Macaca fascicularis: one gene and its partners. The protein of the gene in region 4 purifies or fractionates together with the protein of the main gene of each other region. This does not show direct contact. Links are inferred from orthologs where the notes say so. Each region holds a gene or a part of one and is shown on either strand. Other genes may lie near its edges.

Evidence for each region.
Region 1: the proteins of WDR5 (region 4) and ATN1 purify together in Homo sapiens (affinity purification with mass spectrometry; 4 studies listed by BioGRID and IntAct, counting the BioPlex papers as one, with this or other methods). This does not show direct contact. The link is inferred for Macaca fascicularis from reciprocal best matches to the Homo sapiens genes WDR5 and ATN1.
Region 2: the proteins of WDR5 (region 4) and TAF7 purify together in Homo sapiens (affinity purification with western blotting; 3 studies listed by BioGRID and IntAct, with this or other methods). This does not show direct contact. The link is inferred for Macaca fascicularis from reciprocal best matches to the Homo sapiens genes WDR5 and TAF7.
Region 3: the proteins of WDR5 (region 4) and BOD1L1 purify together in Homo sapiens (affinity purification with mass spectrometry; 4 studies listed by BioGRID and IntAct, counting the BioPlex papers as one, with this or other methods). This does not show direct contact. The link is inferred for Macaca fascicularis from reciprocal best matches to the Homo sapiens genes WDR5 and BOD1L1.
Region 5: the proteins of WDR5 (region 4) and RUVBL1 purify together in Homo sapiens (affinity purification with mass spectrometry; 3 studies listed by BioGRID and IntAct, with this or other methods). This does not show direct contact. The link is inferred for Macaca fascicularis from reciprocal best matches to the Homo sapiens genes WDR5 and RUVBL1.
Region 6: the proteins of WDR5 (region 4) and TCP1 purify together in Homo sapiens (affinity purification with mass spectrometry; 3 studies listed by BioGRID and IntAct, with this or other methods). This does not show direct contact. The link is inferred for Macaca fascicularis from reciprocal best matches to the Homo sapiens genes WDR5 and TCP1.
Region 7: the proteins of WDR5 (region 4) and KDM6A purify together in Homo sapiens (affinity purification with mass spectrometry; 7 studies listed by BioGRID and IntAct, counting the BioPlex papers as one, with this or other methods). This does not show direct contact. The link is inferred for Macaca fascicularis from reciprocal best matches to the Homo sapiens genes WDR5 and KDM6A.

The regions. Positions count from the first base shown.
Region 1 is NC_088385.1:7,874,275-7,877,460, forward strand, and holds part of ATN1 (atrophin-1), read left to right. Parts: coding exon 1-706; intron 707-983; coding exon 984-1,206; intron 1,207-1,682; coding exon 1,683-2,379; intron 2,380-3,186. UniProt on the Homo sapiens protein: Transcriptional corepressor. Recruits NR2E1 to repress transcription. Promotes vascular smooth cell (VSMC) migration and orientation. Corepressor of MTG8 transcriptional repression.
Region 2 is NC_088380.1:147,784,550-147,788,821, forward strand, and holds TAF7 (transcription initiation factor TFIID subunit 7), read right to left. Parts: upstream 2,799-4,272; 5' UTR 2,068-2,798; coding exon 1,018-2,067; 3' UTR 512-1,017; downstream 1-511. UniProt on the Homo sapiens protein: The TFIID basal transcription factor complex plays a major role in the initiation of RNA polymerase II (Pol II)-dependent transcription.
Region 3 is NC_088379.1:12,793,580-12,797,881, reverse strand, and holds the start of BOD1L1 (biorientation of chromosomes in cell division protein 1-like 1), read left to right. Parts: upstream 1-1,349; 5' UTR 1,350-1,487; coding exon 1,488-1,724; intron 1,725-2,738; exon of another isoform or gene 2,739-4,302. UniProt on the Homo sapiens protein: Component of the fork protection machinery required to protect stalled/damaged replication forks from uncontrolled DNA2-dependent resection.
Region 4 is NC_088389.1:5,230,525-5,234,202, reverse strand, and holds part of WDR5 (WD repeat-containing protein 5), read left to right. Parts: intron 1-273; coding exon 274-363; intron 364-658; coding exon 659-748; intron 749-965; coding exon 966-1,049; intron 1,050-3,678.
Region 5 is NC_088376.1:155,323,217-155,327,489, reverse strand, and holds the start of RUVBL1 (ruvB-like 1), read right to left. Parts: upstream 2,974-4,273; 5' UTR 2,866-2,973; coding exon 2,725-2,865; intron 1-2,724. UniProt on the Homo sapiens protein: Possesses single-stranded DNA-stimulated ATPase and ATP-dependent DNA helicase (3' to 5') activity; hexamerization is thought to be critical for ATP hydrolysis and adjacent subunits in the ring-like structure contribute to the ATPase activity.
Region 6 is NC_088378.1:11,200,635-11,205,105, reverse strand, and holds the start of TCP1 (T-complex protein 1 subunit alpha), read right to left. Parts: upstream 2,868-4,471; 5' UTR 2,678-2,867; coding exon 2,614-2,677; intron 1,381-2,613; coding exon 1,295-1,380; intron 1,108-1,294; coding exon 979-1,107; intron 1-978. Other genes in the region: MRPL18 (large ribosomal subunit protein uL18m), read left to right, coding at 3,791-3,839, 4,141-4,327. UniProt on the Homo sapiens protein: Component of the chaperonin-containing T-complex (TRiC), a molecular chaperone complex that assists the folding of actin, tubulin and other proteins upon ATP hydrolysis.
Region 7 is NC_088395.1:44,930,724-44,935,150, reverse strand, and holds the start of KDM6A (lysine-specific demethylase 6A), read right to left. Parts: upstream 2,956-4,427; 5' UTR 2,609-2,955; coding exon 2,448-2,608; intron 2,237-2,447; coding exon 2,173-2,236; intron 1-2,172. UniProt on the Homo sapiens protein: Histone demethylase that specifically demethylates 'Lys-27' of histone H3, thereby playing a central role in histone code. Demethylates trimethylated and dimethylated but not monomethylated H3 'Lys-27'.

The DNA of each region.
Region 1 (3,186 bases), on a different chromosome or scaffold from region 4:
ATGCCATGTCTCCCTCCCTGGGGTCTCTGAGGCCCTACCCACCAGGGCCAACACACCTGCCCCCACCTCACAGCCAGGTGTCCTACAGCCAAGCAGGCCCCAATGGCCCTCCAGTCTCTTCCTCTTCCAACTCTTCCTCTTCCACTTCTCAAGCGTCCTTCCCATGTTCACACCCCTCCCCCTCCCAGGGACCTCAGGGGACGCCCTACCCTTTCCCACCGGTGCCTACGGTCACCACCTCTTCGGCTACCCTTTCCACGGTCATTGCCACCGTGGCTTCCTCGCCAGCAGGCTACAAAACGGCCTCCCCACCTGGGCCCCCACCGTACGGAAAGAGAGCCCCGTCCCCGGGGGCCTACAAGGCAGCCACCCCACCCGGATACAAGCCCGGGTCTCCTCCCAACTTCCGAACGGGGACCCCACCGGGCTATAGAGGAACCTCGCCACCTGCAGGCCCAGGGACCTTCAAGCCGGGCTCGCCCACCGTGGGACCTGGGCCCCTGCCACCTGCGGGGCCCTCAGGCCTGCCATCTCTGCCACCACCACCCGCGGCCCCTGCCTCAGGGCCGCCCCTGAGCGCCACGCAGATCAAGCAGGAGCCGGCTGAGGAGTATGAGACCCCCGAGAGCCCAGTTCCGCCAGCCCGCAGCCCCTCGCCCCCTCCCAAGGTGGTAGATGTGCCCAGCCATGCCAGTCAGTCTGCCAGGTGAGCGGCCAGGTGGGGCGGAGGTGGGCCTGGAAGGGGGACGACAAGGCGGCGACGGAGAGGGAGTAGCAGGGAGGGGCCCTGTGCTGGTGTAGTGTTTTAGAAAAGCACGCCCCTCTCCTCCGTCCATGCCTAGCGGCCAGTGAGGCCGGCAGCAGCTCAGCCTGCAGGGGTGGTTTTTAGGCGGGGGCTACAAGCACTCGCCGGGGTCGCGGCTCCGCGGGCTCCATCCGGCATCTCGCACCGGCTGAGCGCGTGCTGCTTCCACGCTTGGCAGGTTCAACAAACACCTGGATCGCGGCTTCAACTCGTGCGCGCGCAGCGACCTGTACTTCGTGCCACTGGAGGGCTCCAAACTGGCCAAGAAGCGGGCCGACCTGGTGGAGAAGGTGCGGCGCGAGGCGGAGCAGCGCGCGCGCGAAGAAAAGGAGCGGGAGCGCGAGCGGGAACGCGAGAAGGAGCGCGAGCGCGAGAAGGAGCGCGAGCTTGAACGCAGCGTGGTGAGTGCGTCACTGCCTGCGCCACCGCCTTCTTTGCCTCCTCTCTTAGCCGCGCTGCGGGGCTGGGGCTGGGGCTGGGGCTGGGGCTGGGGCTGGGCTTGGGGCTGGGCTTGGGGCTGGGGCTGGGGCTGGGGCTGGGGCTGGGGCTGGGGCTTGTGCTAGGTGGGCGGGCGAATCAAGTCGCCACCTGTCGGAGGGGAGGTACCACTGCAGCCCAGGAAATGGAGCCAAAAAGGATTTCAGCGACAGCAGTCTGCATTCCTGGGTTGGGAGAAGGCCTGCTCAGATGGGACTACCTGTGGATCCCAAGAAGGGCAGATATTCGGGGGGGGGGTCGCAGTTAAGTTCCAGGTGGGCAGAGTTTCAGTGAGGTGAGGCATTTTGGCATTCAGCTGTGGAAACAAATGGGCAGCTTGAAACCAGCCACCTCTTCTCATAACTGCCGCTTTGACTCCACTTTTCCCTGTACCCCACAGAAGTTGGCTCAGGAGGGCCGTGCTCCGGTGGAATGCCCATCTCTGGGCCCAGTGCCCCATCGCCCTCCATTTGAACCGGGCAGTGCGGTGGCTACAGTGCCCCCCTACCTGGGTCCTGACACTCCAGCCTTGCGCACTCTCAGTGAATATGCCCGGCCTCATGTCATGTCTCCTGGCAATCGCAACCATCCATTCTACGTGCCCCTGGGGGCAGTGGACCCGGGGCTCCTGGGTTACAATGTCCCGGCCCTGTACAGCAGTGATCCTGCTGCCCGGGAGAGGGAACGGGAAGCCCGTGAACGAGACCTCCGTGACCGCCTCAAGCCTGGCTTCGAGGTGAAGCCTAGTGAGCTGGAACCCCTACATGGGGTCCCTGGGCCGGGCTTGGATCCCTTTCCCCGACATGGGGGCCTGGCTCTGCAGCCTGGCCCACCTGGCCTGCACCCTTTCCCCTTTCATCCGAGCCTGGGGCCCCTGGATCGAGAACGTCTAGCACTGGCAGCTGGGCCAGCCCTGCGGCCTGACATGTCCTATGCTGAGCGGCTGGCAGCTGAGAGGCAGCACGCAGAAAGGGTGGCGGCCCTGGGCAATGACCCGCTGGCCCGGCTGCAGATGCTCAATGTGACTCCCCATCACCACCAGCACTCCCACATCCACTCGCACCTGCACCTGCACCAGCAAGATGCTATCCATGCAGGTGAGACCCCCTCCTTCCTCTCCCTGGCCCTTTGGGGCCACCTTCCCCCATCATGACTGGGCTCTTTTGTTCTTCTGGCTGAGACTTTCCTCCCCTGGCCTGGCATGAACTTTTCCTGAGATTGCTGCCCTCAACTTTGCCTCCCTGACGTTCTCTCAGCCTTGTCTCCTCATGGCCTTGCCTGGCCACAGAGCCTGTATTCCCCACACCCCAGTCCTCTCCATAGTCTAGTATCCTACCCATGACAGGCCCAGGTGGGAGCCTTTGAAGGACACACCTTTCTATCCTCACAGCCCCATTCTCCCAAGCCCTTCACAAACATATCTTCTTATTTATTTTTTTGAGACATAGTCTCGCTCTGCCACCCAGCCTGGAGTGTAGTGGTGCAGTCACAGCTCACTGCAGCCTCAACTTCCTGGGCTCAAGTAATCCTCCTACCTCAGTCTCCAGAGTAGCTGGGATTATAGGCGTGTGTCACCATACCTGGCTAATTTTTGTAGTTTTGGTAAAGATGGGGTTTTGCCATATTGGCCAGGCTGGTCTCAAATTCCTGAGTTCAAAGCAGTCCACTCACCTTGGCCTCCCAAAGTCCTGAGATTACAGACGTGAGCCACCCTGCCCAATCCACAAACCTATTTTCTGATTTCTCTGGATTTAACTCTTATTTTTTGCCATTTTCTCCTTTTCTCACAGTGGGAGGTCTTTCATGTTCTTCCCCATCTCTAGATCTGTAACTTCCTAGAAGGGGCCCTGTAGCTTTGGGTTTGGGTGTCATAGGCAATAATGAGCTTTACTTACTATCCTTTC
Region 2 (4,272 bases), on a different chromosome or scaffold from region 4:
TTAAAGCATGAGAAATTTGGTACCGACTTACTTTATGAGCAATTTTGATGAAATGACATTGATAAATGACCTCAGTTCTCAGATTATTAATTATAAGAACTCAACTGAAGAAAAATAGAAATAAAATCTTAATCCAAACCAATGGAATGATTCATTGGACTGCACTTGATAACCACTGCTTTGTTTCCAACATTTTGTGCAGGTAGATTTAGTAAGCTTTTTAAAAAAGGCACGAAGGCCTTCATCTACAAAAATTAGGGTAGTTTAAGAAAGCTCTGTATCTAATGTTTCCCAGCTTTCAAGTAGATCAGATAGAACTGGAATCTTAATATGATGCAAACATGACAATTCCCAATTTCTTTACCCCTGCTGTGTTGCTTTTTTTCATAAACCAAACTGCCTCTACCTGCAGAACTGGATCAAATTTCTTAGTCACTAAACTCCACCACAAAACCACCTCAAAAGGGACCTGACTCCCACCAACCATGAAAGAACAAGATACACTACAAAGTGAAAAACAGATGCTTTTATTTATTGTATTGTAAACAACTTAATAAAATTTGCATCTCTACATATGGGAAACTGCTTTGAGTAACTGGGAAAACAGCTATTGCATGGGAAAACATATGCAAACTAGCATCACTGTCTCTAGACTAGGTTCTTCTTATTGATCTCATGTCATCATAAGGCAGCAACAGCAGCTTCTAGAAAATGGAGAAACAGCAAAGTCCTGCAGTGGAGCTATAATTAAGGTTGAACCATACATTCCACTAATCCTGCAACTTTCCTACTATCATTTTTCTGCCTATACAATCCTGCTTCTTATAGGATGAACACCTAGCAAAACAATGTAAATTTGCTGAAAAACAAAACTATAAACAAATGAAAGAACTTAACAGAACACACAGCATTAGAGGGACTAGGAAGTGCAAGGTGTTAATATCCAGTACAAGTAATAAAGCCAAGAATTTTCTAATGCTGATCAGTCTGAACACTGAAATTAAGAATCAGTTCTTTTTACTTCTCTAGGAGTGATTCTAGCTCTTCTTGCAAAGAGCTGAGTTGCTCCTTTTCTCGGTCTTCCTTTTGTTTGAGCTCATCCAGTACAGCCTGAAATCTGTTCTTGAGAGCCAGATTTTCCACTTTCATGATGAGATCCTCTTGTCGTTTTGCCCTGTCCTGGGTCTCTTGGAGCTTGCCTTTCATGTTGTCAATCTGCTTCTGAATTCCCATAACCAGCTGATTGGTTCCCTCATTTTCCTGGTGCTGTTCATCTGATTCATTTAGCTTGTCCTGTAGTTGTCTCTCCAGATCTTCCTCAGTGTCAATGATGTTTATATCTTCTTCATCTTGATGCTGGGTCTCATCTTCATCCTCACTGCTGCTGCTGAGGTCATTGAATATCTCCCGAAGCTCATCATGTTCTAATGAGTCATGGCCCTGCCTGTGACCAGACATTCCTGGAGAAGAGATATCCAGGCCTTGATTTTCTGCCTCCTTTGTTTCATCTTCAGCAATTATTTCCCACCGAGTACTAACAGCTTCAGCATCTGTACTCAGCAATCGTTTCACTTCTTTTTCCACATCTGGAGATTCAATATATTTCTTCTTTGCTGTCTTCCGGAACCTTCTCTTCCTGACATTCTTCAGAGGCAGAGTAATTCCGTGGTTCCAGATAAACTTTTTCTCTTTGTCCTTATCCTTTTTCTTGCTTGCTTTAGGATCAGTGCTAGCAACTGGCTCCTCCACAGGTGGATAGAGATCACCATCAACTGTGGATACAAGCATCTGACAGATATCAGCTGTCTTGTAAAAGGTTTTCTTATCAATGGTTTTCAAGCTTTCCATAACACAGGGCAGGTCTACCAATTTTGAGGCCAATGGAACACGGTCCACTCTGACGATTCCATGACGCCCATCAGGATGTAACTCAATTGTCAGTCTGTCCTTGAGGTTGACATGACCAGACTGTACTGCTCTTCTCACAGTAGAGGCATATTCTGGAGGCAGACGTAAGATAAACTGGCTCTCCAGTTCGTGAGGAGCATCATCTTTGCTTTTACTCATTTTTATTTCTTTGTGACTCACTTCTCCAATAAATGATGGTTACCGTAAAAAGTTCCAGCTACTGCAATAATTTAAAACACCAGTTCGCTATGAATTGAAATATTTTAATTACAAGAAGTTCTCTGTAGATCAGCAGCTTAGCGTCTATTTTGCCTTCGTTTTTATTTAAGCTCCAAGTCTTTTCTCTAAATATGCTGTGACCAAATACCAGTCGTTAACACAAAGGCTTATTCACAGACTTAAGTTCATTAAATCAGATGCAATGCCAAGTCCCAACCTCTAGGTGCCGCTGCCCGACAACGCGGAGACAGCTACCTAGCTAGGAAGCAGGAAAGCAAATGGCGGCTCCCGCGGAACGGTTTTCGGCCCAGAAAGGCCAGCAGAGATACTCTCAATTTACAAACTCTCCCGGAACAGACACTCAAAACATCAGGGCTCAGTGAGCTCTCTTCGCCTCGGGTACTTACAATCCAGTGACGATTATAAGTTCAGTTTCACCGGGCCGGAGCGAAGGGAAGAGGAGGCCGCAAGGAGCAAAGCGGGAGGCAGCCAAGCGTCTCCTTGTCGTTTCCTTAATTCTTCCTGCCGCTTGGCAGAGTGATCCACTATCGATTACTGATGAAAGCCCAGGATGGGCAACGCGAAATCTTGCCGAGAGGCGCAGCTCGGAGAACCAGACCCGGCACCTCGCCGGCCCTCCGTTCGACCGCTTGCCCAGAGAAAACGGAAGTGCTACGTCACGACGCGGGGCGGGAGGTGGATGTGAGTGACAGCCCCTCCGGCCGGAAGGGCGGAGCCCCGGCGCGCGCAGGCGCAATAGCGCAATTACGCTGCCCAGCGTGAAACTCGTCTTTTCGCGAGAACTTGCTTTTCTAGGATGAAAATGATAGTGTTTTCGAAGAGCTGTTGGTTTCAAACTATTTAGCGCTTGGAAGTTACAAGAAAGACACGGATTCGTCCCCCGCTAAGCCAGCACTTTTAAGGGATCGCTGTGGGGCCGGATGGCTTCTAGACTTCCGGGTGATTCCGGGAGATGGGGGACGCCTGGCAGTAAGCGTCTTTGCTTCTGGAAACATCTCGGATGCTTCCTAGGGTCTAGCCAATCTGGTGCCAATACAAGAATGTGTAGCTACTATACAATGGATTTTAAAGAACCCAAATCAGTGGAGTGAGGAGGACATGGAGCTCACTATATAATTCTAAACCTCTCTTTGTTTGTTTGTTTGTTTGTTTTGGAAATGGAGTCTAGGCTGTCACCCAGGCTTGAGTGTAGTGGCACAATATTGGCTCACTGCAATCTGCACCTCCAGGGTTCAAGCGATTCTCCTGCCTCAGCCTCTTGAGTAGCTGGGATTACAGGCACCTTCCACTACCCCAGCTAAGTTTGGTATTTTTAGTAGAGAAGGGGTTTCACCATGTTGGCCAGGCTGGTCTCCAACTCCTGACCTGAGGTGATTTGCCTGTCTTGGCCTCCCAAAGTACTGGGATTATAGGTGTGAGCCACCGTGCCTGGCCCAAAGTCTATATTTTGTTTAATATAATTCCCTGTAGGGGAATTGTGCCTCTGGGTTTCCTTCTGTTCTGTAATACTCCTGAGGAAACAAGGGTGATTCCTTTTTATATGCTTGATTTAGATGTAAATGTAAGCAGAGAAGGAAGTGTTCTTCTGCAAGCACAGGTTCATTTTGGACAGAATTGTCTGATAGACTGAGCATCTGGTTAAAGTAGACATAATTGAAGTATTGTTTCCTGCTTCTCATGTACAAGTAATTTTAAATACTTTGACTTTTTTTTTAACTCCACCTCTACTATTTTGCTGTTTTGTGCTTGTCTTTTCTTTGGAGGGTCAGGTATTCATCAACACATATTTTTAGTATTTTGACATAACTGGGTAACAGTTGGTACTTATTTCTATTTATTTCCATTTATTTTTAAAATATCTGGTAGAGCATCAAGGCCATTAACATTTAATTTCTATCCTCTAAAATATTACCAATTGCCCCTAAATTTAAGAGAATTCTCTTAAGATGTAATTAACATTTCCAAAATTCACTTTATTCCTGTATGATTGAAAGCTCCATGATAGTGATCTTTTTCTATCCTGGTCATTGTGTCCCAGTGCCTAGTACCAGAACATGGGAGATACACAAAAAATATTTGCTAATTGAATGAAAAAATTGATCTATCTAGAAAGATCATAGTCTT
Region 3 (4,302 bases), on a different chromosome or scaffold from region 4:
CAGGTCGAATTCATAGTCATTTGGTATCTTGGTAAAACCTATCTGGTATATTTCCCAGAATCTGAAAAAGTGAAAAAATAAGGATTAAGTAAACAAATCCTTTGGCGAGTCAGGTGGTTTTCGGTTCTTTGCTTCTGATAAAAAGGAAGGAGGGCCTAATTGAAGTCAGCTCATATTTTTTGAAGTCAACCAATTTTTTGAGGTCAAGAATTGAATGATATTGCTACAACAAAACTCTTCCATTCCTAGGCACAGTACTTGTTTATATTAGCAAGGTTTCTCAGGGCACACAGCTATAAAAATTACAAATAGGAATAGAATTGATGCTCAACCTTTTTTCTCCTACTAATAAGACATATTCAGCCACAGATGTAGGAACTCTTAAAAACAGCAATATGCATTTTTCAATAAAATTACATATACTATTTAATAATTATGAAATTTTCTAATATTTATGTTGCTTTGACCAGGTACTACTAACAATTTCAAGGATGATGCAGTCCTAAAGCAGGTGATTTGCTAGCTGTGTAACCTTATTCAACACACTTCATTTATCCGGGCCTTGGTTCCCTGATTTGCAAATTGGGGATAGTAATCGGACCTAGCTCTTAGTGTTTGTCCAAAGATTAAATGAGTTAATACATGTAAAAGCACTTAACGCCACGCTTGGTACGTAATATGTGCTATGGATGTTTTACCGGCTATAATCATAGTAATCAATAGCAAAAAGCCTAAAACCAAAAGCCTGTCGGTTTGTCTTCACACATAGGAAGAAGGGGCTGGAGGGATCCGGACTAATCCACAGGCACACTGCCAGAAACAAGGGACTCCCAAGGGAAAACGGGATGTGCAAGCAGAAGAGAGACAGAAGGACCGTGGAGCTACCTGCTGGGACAAGAATAGTGCAATTTCACAGGCTAAGAACGACGAGGGTTGGGCGAGTTTAGAATGAGCAGATCCACGTAGGGTTCGAATTATACATGTCTATGGATCTCTATGCACTGCTCCGGGAAACAGGAGCAAGAGAGGCAGGCCTAAAATGCCGTCGCGGATGAAGCGGGGCCAGAACTTCACTGCTCCCGCTCAGACCGAGGGCCCCAGGTGTCGCGCGGGTCGAAGCCCTAACCTCCGGGGACTCCAGACCCCAGCCAGTGACCCAAACCCCACAACTCGCGGCCAGCACAGCCTTCTCGTCTCCGTCGCCACAGTCGCCGCCACTTCCGGCGCACCTCGGCCTCGCGAGGGCGCTCGCGCCCGGCGACGGCCGAAACTGGCTCCTCGCGGCCTCCGTCGCCGGACTTTCGTCAATGTCGTCACCGTCTTTTCCTCCTTTCCCCCCGTTCCCTTTTACTTCCGGGGTTGCTCTGGATCCTCTGGTTCCGTAACAACATCCCGTTGGCTTCTCTCAGGCGGCGGGACCAGTGCAGCCGCCGCCTCCCAGGTGCGCCCGCCGGTCAGGGCCCTTGCCCTCCCCGGCACAGGCCGCCATGGCCACCAACCCACAGCCGCAGCCGCCTCCTCCAGCGCCGCCGCCTCCCCCGCCGCAGCCGCAGCCACCGCCGCCGCCGCCGGGCCCCGGGGCTGGCCCCGGCGCGGGCGGGGCGGGCGGCGCGGGTGCGGGCGCCGGGGACCCGCAGCTCGTGGCCATGATCGTGAACCACCTCAAGAGCCAAGGGCTCTTCGACCAGTTCCGCAGAGACTGCCTGGCCGACGTGGACACCAAGGTTCGGAGCCGCCGGGTTTGGGGGTCTGCGAGGGAAGGGGAGGACCCAAGGGCGCGCTTCTTTTGCAGTGGCTTCCTCTTGGAGCTGCAGCTGTGTGCCACACGCTGTGTAAAGCACAGCGTGTTCATTCGTTAGCATGTCCATTGGTTCGTTTTACCGACTAGTGTTTAAGTGCCTACTACGTGCCAGTCACGGTTTCGGCGCAGTGATTACGCCGGTCTGGTGAGCAAGACTAAGGCATTGTTCTTACAGGAACTGGTTTGGAAATAGTAGCGCTAACAGTGGCTAGTTTTGTATTCATTCTCATATCTGATGATTTTACTTTGTATCGAAGTTATGTTTGCCTTCTTTCTTGAAGGTTTCTGGGCGGTAAGGGCCATGAACCTTTATCCTTTGGAGAAATCACAAAATGGTAATTGAATCAAGTTATATGCAATATGCTTTGCTGGACATCGTGGGGCTGGGAGCGCCAAGATAAGGAGGCAAACCTGAGACAGGACTTTAGTATGGTTTCTAGCAGTGACTACCTGATTTAGGTAACTTAGGCCATGTCACCATTCTAAGGTAAGAAGGGACAGGAAGGTGGGGTAGAGAGAACCGAGTCATGCAGTGGAGAAAAGATGCAGGAGAGGTGACAGCAGATACTGAAGTGGAGAAAGGACAGGAAAGAGCAGATTCAGGAGAGTAATGTAGAGAAGGGAAAGGTCAGCAACGAGGTTCCCTGTCCAAAACGAGGGGCTGGAAAGGGGAAGGGATTTTGTACCAAATGTCAGAGTGAAAGGGAAATTAGCAGGAACAAGTAAACTTAGCTGGATTGGCAAAGAATTAGCCAAAGACACCAGGAAAGGGCAGTCAGTGAGGTGGTGGGAAAACCACAGTAGAGTCTAGATTTCTGGAAGCAGAAAGCATGTTGGAAAATTAACTGGTTTGCAGGGGTTGCTTTTGTCTGCTTGTTAAATCTGGTTGGGTCCATTGGATAGGAGTTTTGATGAAATGAGGGTTTCCTTTTTTTTTCTTTTTTCTTTCTTTTTTTTTTTTGAGACGGAGTCTCGTTCTGTCGCCAGACTGGAATGCAGTGGCGCGATCTCGGCTCACTGCAACCTCCGCCTCCCGGGTTCAAGCGACTCTCCTGTCTCAGCCTCCCAAGTAGCTGGGATTACAAGCGTGCGCCACCACGCCCCACTAATTTTTGTATTTTCAGTAGAAATGAGGTTTCACCATGTTGGCCAGGATGGTCTCCATCTCCTGACCTCGTGATTCGCCCAATAGGCGTGAGCCACCGCGCCGGCCGAGGGTTTTCTCATAGTATGTTTAGTTGTTGTGAGGAGCCTTGTTTCTTTGAGAAATGCATGTTTACAACATCCGCAGATTCTTCTAAATCTTTCAGGTAAACTACACACAGTTCCACTATCTCTTCTGGGGAAACTCTCTTGAATATCCTGGTACATCTTTCTTTATAAGGACTCATACTGGGCCCACTGTGTAAAATGTGTTTTTTCAGGATATTGGAGGTTTTGCACCACAGAGAATTCAATTCACTTGGGAGTGTTCATCTATTTAGAAAGTATGGTTTTTTTACTTTTGTCTTCAGGAATATGCACTACTACCTTTTAGAAATAATGCCTATTGCCTTTATTATTTTTGTTATTTAGTGGGAAAAGGTTAGACATGGCCAGGTAAATGTTACCAAATAAAGGTAGTTATTCGTATTCAACAAATAGAATTTTTACTTTGCTGTTCTCGGAAACCCATGAATCTGTGTGTTATCATTATGTATACAAATTAAAAATTGTAATGTACTGCTGCAATGTCTAAGGCTCAACTTTTTTATTATCCTATTCCCACAAAATGTTATTGGTATGTGTCTATAATATCCCTGCCAGATCCTTCAAAGTAAAGGATTAAAACCGTTTTTGGAGGGAAGGAGGGAAGCACAGTAGCGCTGATCATCTAATGAAAGTTAGGACCTTCTCTCGAGAAAAATGCACAAATAACACATTAAAACGCTGTTTTTCTGCTTGAAAATGGTCAGCTATAGACAATTTCATGAGAATCAATCTAATAATGTATACAGTTTCAGGGATCTCAGGAACCATGGAATAAGAACCCATTTTAATGTTCTTAGCCTCTTTTTTGAGGTCAAGAAATGAATGATATTGTTACAACAAAGCTCTTCCATTCCCAGACACAGTACTTGTTTATATGAACAAGTTTTCTCAGGGCACATGACTATAACAATTAGAAATAGGAATAGAATTGATGATCAACCCTGCTTCTAGTAATAAGACATATTCAGCCACAGATGTAGGAACTTTAAAAAGCGGTGGCTAATGCCTGTAATCCCAACACTTTGGGAGGCTGAGGCGGGCAGATCATTTGAGGTCAGGAGTTCAAGGCCAGCCTGACCAAAATGGTGAAACCCCATCTCTACTAAAAATACAAAAAAAAATTAGCCATGTGTGGTGGCGGGCACCTATAATCCCAGCTACTCGGGAGGCTGAGGCAGGAGAATTGCTTGAAGCCGGGAGACAGAGGTTGCAGTGAGCCAAGATTGCGCCACTGCACTCCAGCCTGGGAG
Region 4 (3,678 bases):
GGTTCAGGTTTAAATTTCCACGTTGTTTTTTTAGAGTTATTTGCATCTTGAACTTTTAACGCAAATACATTTGACTTCCCACGGAGGAGTGTCTGTGAGGCTGGCAGAGCTGCGGAAAGCCTGCTGTTTTCCTCCAGGGCCGCGTGTCTTTTGTAAGGTTAAGGCTAGTGAGAAGATTTCCTGAGGGCAATGGGGATGTTTGGGATTTTGACCTTTTGCTAACCGGTCCTACTTTGTCCTGGCAAGTTACTGACCCTGTTTTTTCTCCCCAAGGGAATATCCGATGTAGCCTGGTCGTCAGATTCTAACCTTCTTGTTTCCGCCTCAGATGACAAAACCTTGAAGATATGGGACGTGAGCTCGGTAAGCAACACTCAGCGCTCCTCTCCAGGGGAGACCGGCAGCGGGGCACAGGGCGGGTGGTGGGGACTGGGTTGACTGCTCGGTAAGCAGCACTCAGTGCTCCTCTCCAGGGAAGACTGGCTGCAGGGGCATGGGGCGGGGGCAGGTGGGGGAGGTCGAGTTGACTTCGGGGAACAGCCAGTTGCTGGCGGGGCATCAGGCATGCTCTGAGCTGTCAGGCATTGATGAATGTGATCCGACACTTATGTTTGGGGAAATAAGCACTGGAGTAATACTACTAATACTCTTGTTTTAGGGGAAGTGTTTGAAAACCCTGAAGGGACACAGTAATTATGTCTTTTGCTGTAACTTCAATCCCCAGTCCAACCTTATTGTCTCAGGATCCGTGAGTGTGGCCGGGGTGTCTTCCCTGGGGGAGGTGGTGTTGGATGTTGGGAAGGCTGTTGAACTTGCTTGTAGCCACTGTGGAGAAGGCAGGTGGGGCCCGAGTCCTTTCTGTGCTGTTTGTGGGGAGGATGGACTGGTGGCAGGTCTTGGGTTCTGGGGAGGTTTGCTCCTTCTCCTTCCTGTAGAATCACTGTCATTTCTTCTTTTGTGTTCAGTTTGATGAAAGTGTGAGGATATGGGATGTGAAAACAGGGAAGTGCCTCAAGACTTTGCCAGCTCACTCGGATCCAGTCTCGGCCGTAAGTCCTGCTGACACAGACGGGGTGGTGTCCGGCACTACGTGCCTCTGATGCTGGATGTGGCCAGCTGTCTCCCCGAGGGGCGTAAGCCTGGACGTTGCCTGTGCCTATCTGATTCCTGCTGTCATGCCACAGTCTAGAGCATTCAGGTTGGAGGCTGGGACCTGAGAGATGAGTCCTGTGTGCAGTAGAGGGATGGCAAGGGGGTGGTGAGGTGTCAGTGGGGTGCCCTGTGGTGAGCACCAAGGGGCCTTTCGTGCAGGCTGGATGAGGGGTGGGCAGTGGCCACAGGCGTTCAGAGGGTAGTGTACCCTGAACTGATGCATGGGACAGGAAGGGCGGCCAGGCTGAGAAGGGTGCTGGGAGTGGGAGTGTAGGTGAAGTGTGAGTTTTGAGTGGAGTTAGCTCTGGGCGGGGATGGCCCAGTCCTGGTGGGAACAGTTGGAAGCTGGAGCTCTCTGGAGAACAGGCTTTGCAAAGGAACACATCCTGCCATTCTGCTGTTGCTGTACCACTGTGCACAACAAATGACCGAGAGGCCGAGCATGGTGGCTCACACCTGTAATCTTAGCACTTTAGGAGGCCGAGGTGGGTGGATCACTTGAGGTCAGAAGTTTGAGACCAGCCCGACCGACATGGTGAAACCCCGTCTCTACTAAAACTATGAAAATTAACTGGGCGTGGTAGTGAGCGCCTGTAATCCCAGCTCCTGGGGAGACTGAGGCAGGAGACTCGCTTGAACCTGGGAGGCAGAGGTTGCAGTGAGCCGAGATCGTGCCACTGCACTCCAGCCTGGGCAACAAGAGCGAAACTCCGTCTAAAAAGAAGAAAACAAGAACAAATGGCCGAGAGTTAAAGTGTATGCAGTATCACAAACCGCTCCATTTCAGAGTGGCCAGAAGGTTCTTCTGTTAACAAAGTGCATGAGGCAGTTTCTCGGCGAAGCCTGCCCTTCGTTGAGAAGCGGAAGGAAAGGTGGATGCAGCGTTTGTGCCATGCTGCCCGCCAGTGTGGCATTCATTTTCTGTTGTCTTGGTGGTGAATGGGTTTAAGCATTTTTACCCTTGCAAGGCTTTGCCCGAGTGAGATGGCAGGCGAAGCCCTGGTACTGGCTGGATGGGTAGTGTGTCAGGCCAGGGCGGGGTGCGGTGTCTGAGCCCCGCACATAACCGGGCCACAAGGCCCTCGCAGGCCCAGTGTCACCGCTGCAGGGAGGCTGTTTGCTGTGGGAATGTCATCATGTGGCCCTGTGCTTGTGGCTGTGTGCTCGTGGGCCCAGCCCCTTGGTGCCAGTCCCCTGCCCTTCAGGGCACCTTGGGTCACAGTCAGCAGAACTGACTTTCAGACTGGGCTGACAAATGAACACTTGTGAAGTAACCTGAGAAAGGGGTTCGCTGGTGGCCTTTGAGTTGGAAGAAAGAATTCCATGAGCATCCTAGAGGCCAAAGATAGTGCAGGTGGGACTCGCAGGTGATAGGCAGGATTTTAAAAGTCTTTTTCCTACGAAAGTAGTTTGCTCATAAAAAGACAAAAACAAAAACAGGTTGGGTGCCATGGCTCCCACCTGTAATTCCAGCACTTTGGGTGGCTGAGGCAGGAGGATCCCGTGAGACCAGGGGTTTGAGACCAGCCTGGACAACAGAGTGAGACCCTGTCTCTATACAAAAAGCAAAAAATTAGCCAGACGTGGTGGTGTGCACGTGTGGTCCCAGCTACTTGGGAGGACAGGGTGGGAGGATTGCTTGGGCTCAGGAGTTTGAGGCTCTGGTGAGCAAGATGGTACCACTGCACTCCAGCCTGGGTGACAGAGTGGGACCCCATGTCTTAAAAAAAAAAAAAAACTACAAAGGTGAGCAAATGTAGGAAGTAGAAAATGAATTCCCTGAGTCACCCCTGGGGTCAGCTGCTGGGAGGTGGAGTCGGTCCCTCTGTGGTCTTCTACTTTGCTGTTTTAGGTGCGTCTTTTCCAGCGTAGCTCACTGCTGTCCTTTAAGTAACTGGTACTGCACCACAGCTGCTGCTCTGTAGCCGTCTCCACTGCAGAGAGGTTTGTGGGGGCTTTGTTTTTTCTTTTTTTTTTTTTTTGAGATGGAGTCTCACTCTGTTGCCCAGGCTGGAGTGCAGTGGTGCGATCTTGGCTCACCGCAACCTCTGCCTCCTGGGTTCAAGTGATTCTCCTGCCTCAGCCTCCCAAATAGCTAGGATTACAGGTGCCCACTACCACGACTGACTAATTTTTGTTTTTGTTTTTTTTTTTTTTTGAGACGGAGTCTCGCTCTGTCGCCCGGGCTGGAGTGCAGTGGCCGGATCTCAGCTCACTGCAAGCTCCGCCTCCCGGGTTTACGCCGTTCTCCTGCCTCAGCCTCCCAAGTAACTGGGACTACAGGCGCCCGCCATCTCTCCCGACTAGTTTTTTGTATTTTTTAGTAGAGACGGGGTTTCACCGTGTTCGCCAGGATGGTCTCGATCTCCTGACCTCGTGATCCACCCGTCTCGGCCTCCCAAAGTGCTGGGATTACAGGCTTGAGCCACCGCGCCCGGCAATTTTTGTATCTTTAGTAGAGACAGGGTTTCACCATGTTGGCCAGGCTGGTCTCGATCTCCTGACCTCAAGTGATCCACCCGCCTG
Region 5 (4,273 bases), on a different chromosome or scaffold from region 4:
ATGGTCTCAATCTCCCGACCTTGTGATCCGTCTGCTACTGGGGAGGTTGAGGCAGGAGAATGGCGTGAACCTGGGAGGTGGAGCTTGCAGTGAGCCAAGATGGCGCCACTGCACTCCAGCCTGGGCGACAGAGTAAAGCTCCCTCTCAAAAAAAAAAAAAAGAAAAGTAAGGAATATGTGTGTGTATGCTATATCCATCCCATTTCCACTTCAGTTACCAAAGCACACTGCCCTTAATAGAACCTAGAAGATATTCTTCAGATGCTACTTTTTCAGATGGAGTCTCACTGTCACCCAGGCTGCAGTGCAATGGCGCAATCTCAGCTCACTGCAACCTCCGCCTCCCAGGATCAAGTGAGTCTCCTGCCTCAGCCTCACGAGTAGCTCAGACTACAGGCACATGCCACCATACCTGGCTAATTTTTGTATTTTTAGTAGAGACAGGATTTTGTTATGATGGCCAGGCTGGTCTCGAACTCCTGACCTCAGGTGATCCACTTGCCTTGGCCTCCCAAAGTGCTGGGATTACAGGTGTGAGCCACTGCGCCCAGCCCAGATGCTATATTTCTAAACAGATAAAAAGCCTAGCCAGGCGCGGTGGCTCATGCCTGTAATCCCAGCACTTTTGGAGGCCGAGGCGGGTGGATCACCTGAGGTCAGGAGTTCAAGACCAGCCTGGTCAACAAGGTGAAACCCTGTCTCTACTAAATATACAAAAATTAGCCGAGCATGGTGGTGGGCGCCTGTAATCATGGCTACTCACGAGGCTGAAGCAGGAGAATCACTTGAACCCGGGAGGCAGAGGTGGCAGTGAGCCGAGATCGCACCATTGCACTCCAGCCTGGGCAACAAGAGCGAAACTTCATCTCAAACAAAAACAAAAACAAAAACAAAAAAACCTACTATGATCTTTCCATACAACCTTGTCATATAATCCTCAGCACTGAAGCTCTTTGGAAAACTCAAGGTAGAAGAGACTTTACAAACCTTGGATATGTGCTTTTATTTACAGACCAGGACCTCTTCCATCTATTCTCCCTCAGTTTCCACTCCAACTTCTCTCAGGTGAGATAAGCTTGAATTCTAACATTTAAAAAGAATTGGAAGGGTCTTTAAATGATCACCTAGTCTAACTCTCATTTTTCAGGTTACTGATGTGACCAGAATCACACAAGAACCTGGTAGCTGAGGTGGGTCTTAAGCATACAACATCAGTTAAGAGCATGGACTCTGGGATTAAATACATAGACTTGAGTTAAAATACTCTCCCACTTACCAGATGAGTAACCTTGGACCTACTTACTTGACCTCTATGAACCAGAATTTCCTCACTTGAACAGAGTTCATACTAGTCAATGGCACACATGTTAAAGGGTGTAGGGGTGAAGTGTAGTGATGCCTGCAATTCACCTTGAAATGTAAAAGTGGATTGGGAGAGGCACACATGGAAAGATATATGATAAAGCAGCATAGTAAAATGTTAATCATAGAATTTAGGTACACAGGTACTTACTATACAAGTCTTTCAACTTTTTTTGTATGTCTGAAAACTGTCATACTAACGCAGGGAAGGGACAACTAATTCGTTGGATATGACAAGGCAATGGACACACAGCTACTTAGCACAGTGCTTGGCACATGGAAAGCACTCAACCAATGTTAGCTACTTGCAGTAATAGCTGCTTAGTAAGACAGGGTCAAACACTTCCTTTTTGGAAAGATGATGCTCAAAATGGAAACCCGAGGTTTTTCTTTTGAGCCCTTTCTATTTAGAAAAATCAGGCTAAGAGGCAGTAGCTTAACTTTGTATTAAGTGAAGATTTTTGTACAAGCTAAGGCTCTGCAAAGGCCAAGGGGCATGGCTGTGACCTCAGACAACAGCAGGCAGAGAGAGTGGCTATGTCATCATAGAGCACTGATTTGGGAGTCAGAAATACATGTGAGCGCAAATCCCCGCTTTACCATTACTAAAACGAGTGTCAAGTATATGGTGAAGTGCCCTCTCCCCAACTCAATATTTTCACCTGCCAAAAACCAATAATGTATGTGAAAGTACTTGGCATCACTAGCACTCAGAAAAAGGAGATTTAATTGGAATGGTCAAAAAGGATGCTTGGAGGGATAAATAAACCAGATTGCTCTTCTCCCTAATTCCCACTTCTCTCCCTCAGCTCCCGGGTCCTGGGAACCAAAACGAGCTTTTAAAGTTTAGTCAATTCCCTACTTTAAACCGTCCCACGGCCTGCCAGTGCGTTCACAATAAAATCCAATTTCCTTACCGTGGCCGACAAAGTTCTGCAGTAACTAACCCCACCAAGATAATCATTTTTGTTTATTGATGTACACGTTTATCGTCTCTCACTACACTAAAATGTAACCTCCTATCTTATCTCCCGCTGTATCCCGGGAAATAAGTGTCGCGAATAGAGCTCAGCATGGATTAAGGGGACGGGGTTGTGTGGGTTTCCATTAGTACTTGTCCATGAGTTGAAGCAAACCGTCAACTGGCCCCAGTGGGTGGTCACTAGTTTTCCTGGGGCGGCCCCTCACCCAGCTCCAGGGCGGCGCCCCTCCCCGAGCCCCTGGCCTATTTTCACTTCCCTGAGGCAACTATGGCGGGAGACCCCTGGCGCGCGCATCCCGACCCGAGCCACCGACTTCAGCAGCTCTCTCGCCGCAGCAGCCCTGCTCGGAGCCCCCAACTCCCTGGTCCGCTGGCCACACCTCTCGCGCGTTCTCCTGGCCCACGAGCCCTGAGGCCGCCTGCTTGGCCAAGCCGCTCTCGTCCAGCCCCAGCCCTTTCACGTGGCTGTGGGAAGCGATGCGCTGCGTTTTCGTGGTGCTCTTCACCTCCTCAATTTTCATTTTGCGGACGCCGGGAGCTAAAACCAGCGTGGAAAACCAGCAGATAGGACAGTGCGCCCAGCGCCCGAGTTACCATGCGGCCGTTACTAGGGCAATTTGCAAAGGCCCGCCTAGGTTGGCCTTCCATTGGTGGAAGCGGGAACGCCTCCGCTCTCCATAGGCTCACGGCTGCGCCCATCGCGGCTGCTGCTGGAGCTCCAGTCACTCACTTCCGGCTGTGTCTCTGGGTTGGCTTCCCCCGCAGCCGGCGCTTCCTGCCCAGGCTGGGGTCGGTAGCACAGTGGGACCACGCCCCGGATTTGATTTCGGGCTGGGGCGTTGCACGAGGTAGTGGCCCCCGGGTACCACTCCTAATCCTTCCGTCCTATCCATTATCACGTTTGAACGTCATACTCTTACGCGAAGCTCAAGTTATTATTTCCGTTTTGGAAATAGAAGAACTGAGGTTCAGAGCTTAAACTGCAATTGGTTACTAACCAATGTTTTCTGACTCCCAGACCTTTGCATCTCGTCTGGAAAGGCCCAGCGCAACCCACCACTCCTTCCGTGGAATTGTCTTCCCCTGCTTCTAATCTCCATCCTCCGCCGAGAGATAAGGTTCCTGCTAAGTTCAGTTCAGTTGACTGTAAATAACATTTTGCAGTTTTCAAAACTCTACAGCCCTGTAAGGTAGTGTAATTACGAATGCAGCTACAGACAAGCAGAAAGAGGCCCATCCGCCCAAGAAAGCACCACAAAGAATCAGAACTAGAAATCTTCAGGCTTCAAAACCTATATAATAATGCTCATACTGTCCCATTATTTCAGCTGAGACAATCAGCCAGCAAATTGTCCCTTCAGGTTTCATAATGATATTCGCACAACCTGCACCACAATTGTACTTGCCATCCATCCATCCATCCATCCATTTAACAAACACGAGCCAGACACCACAATGCACTGGGGATACAGGGATAAAAGTCTTGATGAGCTTACTCCTTGCTTAGAAAACTTGTAACATGAGATGTGGTGAGACAGGTACACCCAGGTGGCAAGAAGACCAGAGCAGAAGCCCCAGGAACAGCCTGGAGAGCCAGGGAAAGCACCATGAAGGTGATGTTGCCTTGGCTGAATTCTGACAAATGGGCGAGATTTCCTCAGAAGCAAATGGTATGACACCATTTTTACAGAAGAAGATACTAACATCCAGAGGAAGGGAAGGACTTGCCCAGAGTGCAGGAGAGTTTATATTAGAATTGAGACAGACCTGAAATCACACTTCCTTGTACATCTTGATTCTAAGTTTTGAATCTAGGTTTCTATATTTTTTTTCTTTTCTTTTGAATCTAGGCTTCTAGTGATTTGCATAATTACTGGGTCAATGTTTGTCTCTCCCAGTAAACTGCAGGCCTTTTGAGGGTGTAGACCA
Region 6 (4,471 bases), on a different chromosome or scaffold from region 4:
ACAAGTGTTTCTACTATACCAGCATGCTGGATGATCTATGAAGTTTATACTGTATATCACGTTTACTGACTCGAAAAGATCACACTGTCCTATCATGATGTATTTATTAATTTCTCACACTCCTATTTTGAATTCCTGAGATTACCTGTCAGGATTTAAAAAATAAAACAGGCTTAGTGCAGCAGCTCATGCTTGTAATCCCAGCACTACAGAGGCTGAGAAGGGAGGATCACATGAGGCCGGGAGGATCACGTGAGGCCAGGAGCTCAAGACCAGCCTGGGCAACATAGTGAGACCCTGTCTCTACCGAAAAAAAAGAAAAGAAAAAAAAAAGATTTTTAATTATTTGGTTGTGGTGGCATATGCCGGCAATCCCAAGCACTCTGGGAGGCTAAGGCGGGAGGATTACTTGAGCCCAGGTGTTCCAGGCTGCAGTGAGATATGACAGCACTGCAGCACTTCAGCCTGTGCTACACATGGTCTCTTAAAAAAATAACACAAAAACATTGTTTCTCCCCCAAACTGGTAACATTTTGTTCTTTAAATAATTATACTTTAGAGCTTTCCAAGTCTCAAGGGGTGATGCGGGAGGAAACAAGATTTTTTGAGAGACCATAAAAAAATCTGTGTGATGTCTGAACACTGCCATAAAGGGAAAAATAAGCCCTCAAAACTTGTGAATACCAACATTTAAAACAATGGGGCTATGTTAAATGAACTCAAATTCTTTCCTACTTAAACTGTACAAACAAGCTATAACTACCAACTTACAAATTGTGTTTCTGAATCTGTACCTAAGAAGCTTATTTTCCCTCTTAAATGTGTAACTTCTTTTGTTTTTTCTCTTTGCTCAATCATCTGGGCATTCAGAATATGTAACTTATTTCTGACCCAGCACAAATGACCCACTTATGGCTTCAACTTTCTGAAAGTCGGTTGTTTTTAGAAAAATGATCATTCTTTAGCCAGTCTACCTACCACTGATGTAGTTCCATCTCCAACTTCTTTGTCTTGCAGATCAGCCAGCTCACAAAGAACTTTAGCTGCAGGATGTTCAACTTCCAGTAACTTGAGGATGGTTGCACCATCGTTAGTAATGGTCACATCCTAAGAAATTAGCAGGAAAAAATATGAACCACTCATAGAAATCAACACAGCCCCATTATAATACACATCCACCTTTAATATCACCTTCCAGTACCTGGATTCTGATAAAATCAAAGAATGAACACAGCAAAACACTGAAAATAGTTTTACTTTAAGGCAACTAACACAACAGTTAACGTGTACTTACACCGATATCATCCACCAGCATTTTATCCAAGCCAACAGGACCAAGAGAACTTTTTACAATATTGGCAATCGAAGCTGCAGCCATAACTGTAGACAATTAAAAACACAAATAAAAAAGAAATAAGAATCCACAACTCTGAAAGACAGTAATTTCAGCCTAAAGGTAAATGACATCCAACAGCCCCTGTATTTCCCAAATGTACAAATCTGCGTTATTTAAAAACCACCTACTAGGAACCTAAATGGGGCGGACACTGTGGCTCACAACTGTAATCCCAACACTGAGATGCTGAGGCAGGACAGCTTGATGCCAGGAGTTCGAGACCCCCTTGGGCAACACAGCGAAACCCATTTCTACAAAAAATAAAAACAAAGCCGATGTGGTGGCGCGGGCCTGTGCTTGGAGACTGCAGTGAGCTATGCTGGCACTCCCGTCTGGGCGACAAGTGGGACCCTGTCCCTAAATAAAGCGAGCCTATTTGGCACAGCTTTGATGAGGGGGTGGAATCTGATGGCGGGAGAAAAAAAGTAATAACCACAATTTCATGTTCTGCCACTTCGTACAGCTATGCCTTTTCCTTCAGATCCTGCAAGTTTTTTGCTCATTAGAACCCTTTTTATCTGTGAGGAGAGAAATCGGTAGCCAACGGGGAAGGTACTTTGATTTGTTTACGAAAAAAAATTACGAATCTATCAAAAAACAGTGCGCTCTGTAGGTATACAAAGGCCCGACAGCAAACGCTCTGCTAAGTTGGCGCTGCCGTCTCCCGGGGTCAACTGCACTCCAGTGGCGTTTCCTGTGCTAACTCTACTTTAAGATGCTATCAACTGAGAGAGAGCCGGACGCCGGGCGCCCGACCCCGACTGCAGCTACGGGCGGAAAGGGCACCGGGCTCATCCGCAGGGGCGCGGATGAACCTACTTTTTCTGGTAAATGGTCCTGAAACGAAACCCGGCGTTTAACATGGACGCTCAAGGGGCCGCCCTGAAACAAAAGAGGATGCGAGGCGTGGCCCGCACGTGCAAGTCCGGGAGGCCCGCGGAGGGGCGCGTTTCCAGCGCCGCCCCGGACACCACATCCACGCGGTGCCGGTCTCAAAACCTGCTGCGCGCTCCGGGGCTCCTCCCCGCTGTGGGGAGAGGGGTCGACAGCGCCCTGCCCCAGAGAACGGCGGGTGGGCCGGGTCCGGCTGCGGGGCCTCGAGGCCCTTTCTGCAGAGGTAAAGGAGAAGAGGCACGAAGCGGTCAGCCGGGGTCCGGTCGCGATGGGACTCGGCCCTCCCAGCCCGCCAGCCCGACCCAGGCCCGGCCCTCCCTTACCGTTCTGGGAGCGGATCGCTTCCCCAGTGCTGCGGTCACCGAACACGGACAAAGGCCCCTCCATCTTCGCGGCAGCGATACACGTTGAATTCTGCTCACAACGCGGGCAACCAGTATCGCGGTCCCTCGGCTGACCGGCGACCACAGCAGTGGCTGCGACGGCGTGGAGGGTACCCGAGCGATGCCCCAGGAGCTGCTGGGTAACACCGCCCTACCCGCTTCCCGGCTGCCCCGGCCCGGCCGCGGGGCACGGCGGGAAGGAAAAAGAGGCGGGGGCAACAGGAAGAGAAACGGGAGCGTGCCGGAAGTGAGGCTCTAGGGAAGGGGCGGGATCAGCATTTTTATCCAATTAGATAGCCGATGGGAAGGGCGCGAAAGCGGAGAACGGAAGTCGGATCTTGGACTGCTGGAAAGAGGCGGAACCTTCGGTGCAAACAACCTTGCGCAGACGCAGTGGGCCATTCTAGTGCCTTCTAGAAAGGTTGTAGGCGGGTGGAGCTTGGAGCTGGGGTGTAACTGGAGGGGCGGGCCCTTCTCCAAGGTAGAATTGAGGTTCTGAGCGAGTCTTGCGTTTTAGCTTTAATGTCTTTTCCTCGTCCCTGCTCGGGGAGCGTAAGGCAAATCGGCCGGCTTTGCTCCAGGCCTCAGGAGTATAAGTTTAGGGGCGCGAACCTGGGTGGGACGGGGCAGTTTTTCCAGCGGGCCATACGGGAAAATTTTTGGTTCGAGGAAGACAACTACCCTTTTTAAAGCGAAAACTGCACCGTGCCCTGCCTCATTTCTACGCGGTGCCCAGTAGGGGTGTGTATGGACCAGTCAATGACCGCCCAAGATCTCTTAGTAGACAACTCAAATACGGTTAGGTGAAGTTGTGGGTGCTTTTGACCCTGGACTTCAGCAAAAAGCGTGGTCGTGGGCGTAGCCACGAGGTGATTGGTGGGTTCCAGGGCCTGCGTGCCCCTCCACGTGAGCGGTGATTGGCGTTGTCGGATAACAGAGCCTCCTCCTGGCCACTCAGTGGCGGAGGACTTTCTACTTCCGGGTCGGGGGCGTCTGGCGTGGAGAGTTTGGGGATCTACAGCAACCAAAGGCTCTGACTTCGTATGATTGCGGCAGGCGAGCGAGTGAGTCGTGCGTGAGGAAAAAGAGGCAAGGCTTTTCCGAGATCGTCTCAGCGATGGCGCTTCGGTCGCGGTTCTGGGGGTTCTCCGTTTGCAGGAACCCTGGTAATTAGTCTTGGCCCCCTTCGCCCAGCTGATTGGCCAGGGTCTGCACAGTACTTTGGAACGTGCGGATTCTATTGGTATATTCGACGTGCCAGGTCGAAATAAGAGTTCGCAGCACTGCGAACACCTCAGTAGGAAGTTAAGGACGGGGTCAGTGCTGATTCCACCCTGTGGGCACACGTATTTTTCGTCCCCTGGGCCTGAAGACTGGGGGTGTGAAAGGGGATAGACGTTAGAGCGAGTTCGTGCGCTGTCCGTATCCGTCATTTTTAAGCCCCGTGCGGTTGTTTCCGTTGCCCAGGGTGCAGGTTCGCAGCCCTCTCAACCAGCTCCAAGCCGGCGGCGAAGCCTGAAGTGCACCCTGTGGAAAATGAAGCTGTCGCCCCAGAGTTCACCAATCGGAACCCCCGGAACCTGGAGCTTCTATCTGTAGCCAGGAAAGAGCGGGGCTGGCGGACGGTGTGGCCCTCCCGTGAGTTCTGGCACAGGTAATTAAATCTGCTTGTGATTGACAGAGAAGGACACTGCACCCTACGGACGATTTTAATTCGTTCAACGCCAGGCTGTCTCCCAGGTAGCTGCCATGCGGCGGGTAGAGGCAGGGTTCGCGGAGGGGCTGGAACAAACAGCAA
Region 7 (4,427 bases), on a different chromosome or scaffold from region 4:
CACAAGCACTGAGTCTGAAGCAATGAAGATTTTTTTTTCTTGAGTTTAACAAACTACTTAATCATTCATCAAATCACCCCATATATCATGAAGCCCCCAAACATAGTGAAGCTTCACTAGTTTTTCTTTTTTAGCATGCATTCAAACATCAAGTAATGCACAACTTGCCAAAAATATTTGAAAATGGTTATTTTTTAAAATTTAAACTCGTTAGTGCATAATAACTGCAGAGTTTAATATTACAATCTGAAATCCAATGTTAAGCACTATTCACCGTGAATCTATCTGAATATGAGCATTCTAAGACATAAAATCAACTAGCATTTTACACATTCTCAACATAAAACATCGGATTCCATTTATTTTTTCATCACCATAAGCAAAAGCAATCGATTTGGCCAAACTTTTCCAAGTCAATTATCTTTGCAAGCAATTTTATCAATCCATGTTAGACCAGCAATAATCCCTCCAAAACAAAATAATGCTCTTTGAATTTAAATCATGTTTAATCTTTTGTAATGACAACTTTGACAGCAGTCAAATATTTTTAAATAAAATACTTTAAATACTCAAATTGGGAAAAAAAACTTTTAAGGCAGGAGACCAACAATTACTGACGCTTAAATCTTTCCAGAGCTAGTCACTGTTCATTTTTACAACAATAATTGCAATGAAGCCAATTAATACCTATGTAGTCAAAGTTTAATTCAAGTTTTCTGTATCGGTCAAAGGGGCCGGGCTTACTGAAAAGCATTATTTCCATTTAGTTTTCTGATCATTATATGCAATAAAACTCCTTATAATTACTTGGAAATAAAAACAAATTTGTAATTACAGATAAAAAAGAATTGATGACTCTGCTAAACCAAGCTACAGACAAAAATTCAGAACAACAAAAAAATCAACTTAAGAATAAAATGTTGGACTTACTTCAAACTTCCGTCTCAACTGTAACAATAAAGCTAGGTGTCAAATGCAAAGCTATGATTTCAGCTAGAAAAGAAAATGTCTAACGGATGCAACACCCATAGCACACACTCCAACTTTCACGGTCCCAATTACGAAGAAAGTATTCAAATATCATTGCAATCAGATTTTGGTCAGGAAATATAAATTGATGCCTAGAGACTGAGACTCCAGCCTTTGTTCAATAGCTTAAGGATGGGTAACTAAATGTGCTACAGGTTGATAAGCATTTACCAGGCTTATGCATGCTGCTTCCAAGCTTGTGAAAGGTACAAGAATTCTATATGCAAATAATCTTGGGTAATTTTTTTTTAAACACCACTGAGCTACACACTCCGAAGGAAAGGCTTATTCACGGCTACTATTTATTTCCATGTTTACCTCTACTCCCTCCCCCAAACCCCCCCCCCTTCACTTTCTCCTCCCACCCTGTCCCGCCATCTTGGGCCGATAGGAGCAGCCATTACTTAACTAAATGACAGTGCCAACAACTTTCCACACAAATAAACAGAGACTACACCCCGATTCCTCCCCAGTCTCCCCTGTCAGACACGCAGGAAATGAGGCTCCAGGAAGAGAACACATTTACAAATAACTACGGTATTTCTATGCCAAAAAGACCCAAAAAGTAAACAAGTCACCTAACTTCAGGTAACACACATTGCGATCGAGATACATGTCAACAGCCCAATGCAAACTCTTCACCGACCTAAACTCCGTGAAACTTCCCCCTTCTGGGAGCGGGGACACAAGAAAGCCTAAAACATTTGGTTAGCAGTAGGCATCACGAACAGCCTGCTTGAAGGAAAAGAATTTCTTTAAACCCGTGAGAGGCAAGTGAAGTCCGGAATTGGGGGAAATCTGAACACATTCACGATCCCTTGACTCTAAACATGCACGTCGAAGATCATCGGCCTATCCCCAAAAAGCTGTAAAATAGCAGGCAGTTTTGTCGACCCAGTTGAGCCCGGCCCCAAAGCGATCCCGTCTCTGTTCCTCCAGCTACAAGAGGAAAAGAGCAATTTAGCAAGGGAGCAAGCTGGGTACCCGTGGGTGGGGGGAGAGCAGAGGCAGGAAATAGTTTTCCGGAAGCCCCTCGACCATCGTCCGCGGCCACAATGAGCGCAGACCCGGCCGCGGGGCCCGGGGCGAGCGCGGCGCCGGCCGGGGAGACGGTGTCCGCGCTCCGACTCGCAGCTGCCTTACCTTGCCCAGTAGGGCCTTCGTCCTGGCGCCATCTTCATGAAACCTCACGAACCCGAAGAGGCGGCTGTGGGGAGAGACACAGGCTACTCGTTAACGCTCCGGGAACGCCACCGACCCGTCCCTGCCCGAGCCCGAGGCCCCGGCGGAGGCGGCGCGAAGAGCGCCAAACCGAGGTGCCCGCCCCGCCGCCGCCAGAGACAAGCCGCGCTCGGGCCTCCCGGGAGAGCGGCTACTGCCCGTCCGGAGCCGACCGGGCGAGTGACGGCGGCCCGTACCTGTCCAGTCCGCCGAGCGCCTCCCTCTCCTCGGCTGTCAGGCTGGGGGACGCCTCCTCGCTCTCGCCGCTCGCTTTTCCCGCCGCCATTTTCTTTTCCTCATCACCGAAAGCGGCGGCGGCAGCGGCGGCGGTAGCGAGCGACACTCCGCAGGATTTCATGGAAACGCAGCGAATTCACAACTCCAACGCCGACACCCCCCCTCGGACCGGGGCCCGCAATGACGCCCCCAATCTGCGCGCGGGACCAGCACACCAACTTTATCGCCGCCTCCTCCTCCGCCGCGGGCGGCGGCGACGAAAAATCCCAACGCGGCGGCGGTGAAGGCGGCGGCGGCAGGGGCTGCGAAGCCCCCGGGTCGGCAGCGGCGGCTTTCGGCTGTAGGGTCACATCGCGGGGTTGGGCAAGGGGCAGCCACGGGCGGGGACGGCGGGAACGGCCGGAGCGCGCAGGGCTGGGGAGCACTGGGGGGATTCGTTGGAGACACAAACTTCCCCGGCACCAGCACAAAGTTGTTGTAATTGTGTCACACAGCGAACCCCACGCCGCCGCCGTGACCCCCCCTCCCCGCCCGACTGGCGCCACCAATCGGCGCGGCCCGCACGACTCACGTGACCTTTGTTGACTCACGTCAGCCGTGGCTCCACTTAACTTGCTAGCTGCCCGAGCCCCGCCCACCGAGGCCGCCACCGAGAGGGGAGCGGGACGCAGGCCAATTCTGGCCGGTGGTTGGCTGCTGGGCGCGTCTGTCGGGGGAAGGGTTGTCACCGAGAGGGAGCTTCCTGTTAGGTTGTGCTGGTTAAATACACTGGGGCAGAGAATGGAGGGTCCGGGCCGTGTCACCTCGGGAACCACGGCAGGCTTTGGAGGGGGAGGGGAGTGGTGGGGAAGGGCGAGGTCCGGCAGCGCCCGCGGCGGGCGCGAGCGGCGGGCGAAGATGCCAAGGACGGCCTTTGCCTGCCTGGGAGCTCTGGGATGTGCCCAGACCGCGGCTCCGGCCGTCCCGCGCGCGCTCCAGGGGTCCCGGGACCCCACAGGGCCTGGTACAGGTCGCGTAGCCGGGAGGCGGTACACGGCCCTCTACCTCTGCCCTCCGAAGAAGGCTCAGACTTTGGCACTGCTGGAAATAATGGCCTCCGCGAGGAGTGCGCTTGGGGAGCGGCTGCCGGCCCGGTGCCCCGCGGTCCGGGTGCCGCCCTAGGCCAGACCTACGCTGGCAGCCCCGACCACCTCACCCGCGCCGAAAGTGAAGGGGGAAAGGCTCCCCTGACCCCCGCCCATACGCCCCAGGCCGGAGGGAATGAAGAGTCGCCCGCGGGGCCTGGCTTGCCGACCGTGGCTCCCCACCGCCAAAGGTCTGTCTGTTGGCGGCACTTTGGGGCCAGATTTTCGTGCTGTGTTTACCCTGTGTCTTATCAGTAGTTCATTACAGTCTTACAAGAAAAAGCAATGAGAAATTGTTAAGCGGGATCTGCAGAATGTTGGGTTCTATTGCCGTGATTTCAGTGGAGCCTTCTTACAAAAGTAGGGACTGCTTGTGGACAGACCTGAGAGAAGACATAATTAAATCCTCATCACAGCTGGTGGCCCAGGAAAGCCTTTCTATCCCCCAAAACCTGCAGGTTTGTAACCCCTAGACAACAGTAACACTTTGTTCTGTCTCTCAGGTGCAGGGGAAAGGCTGTAGTCTGGCTTTTAATCTTTAGTATAAGTGGAAAAAAAAAAAGAAAACAGGCCTTTCGACTACTCTTCTCAAAAGGCAAATTTATTTACTAAGCTGTATGTCATAACAGGGATAGGAAAAAATTAATGGACATGTAAAGACGATTCTCTTTATAAACGGAGTCTTGTATATTTTCAATAGGTTTTCCACCTGTAACCAATAAAAATGATATATTTAAACTTGGATTTCAAAATATGACAAAGACAATTCAGTGCTGACCCAGTAATTCCTACCAGTATTCAGCGGGAAGCTACGGG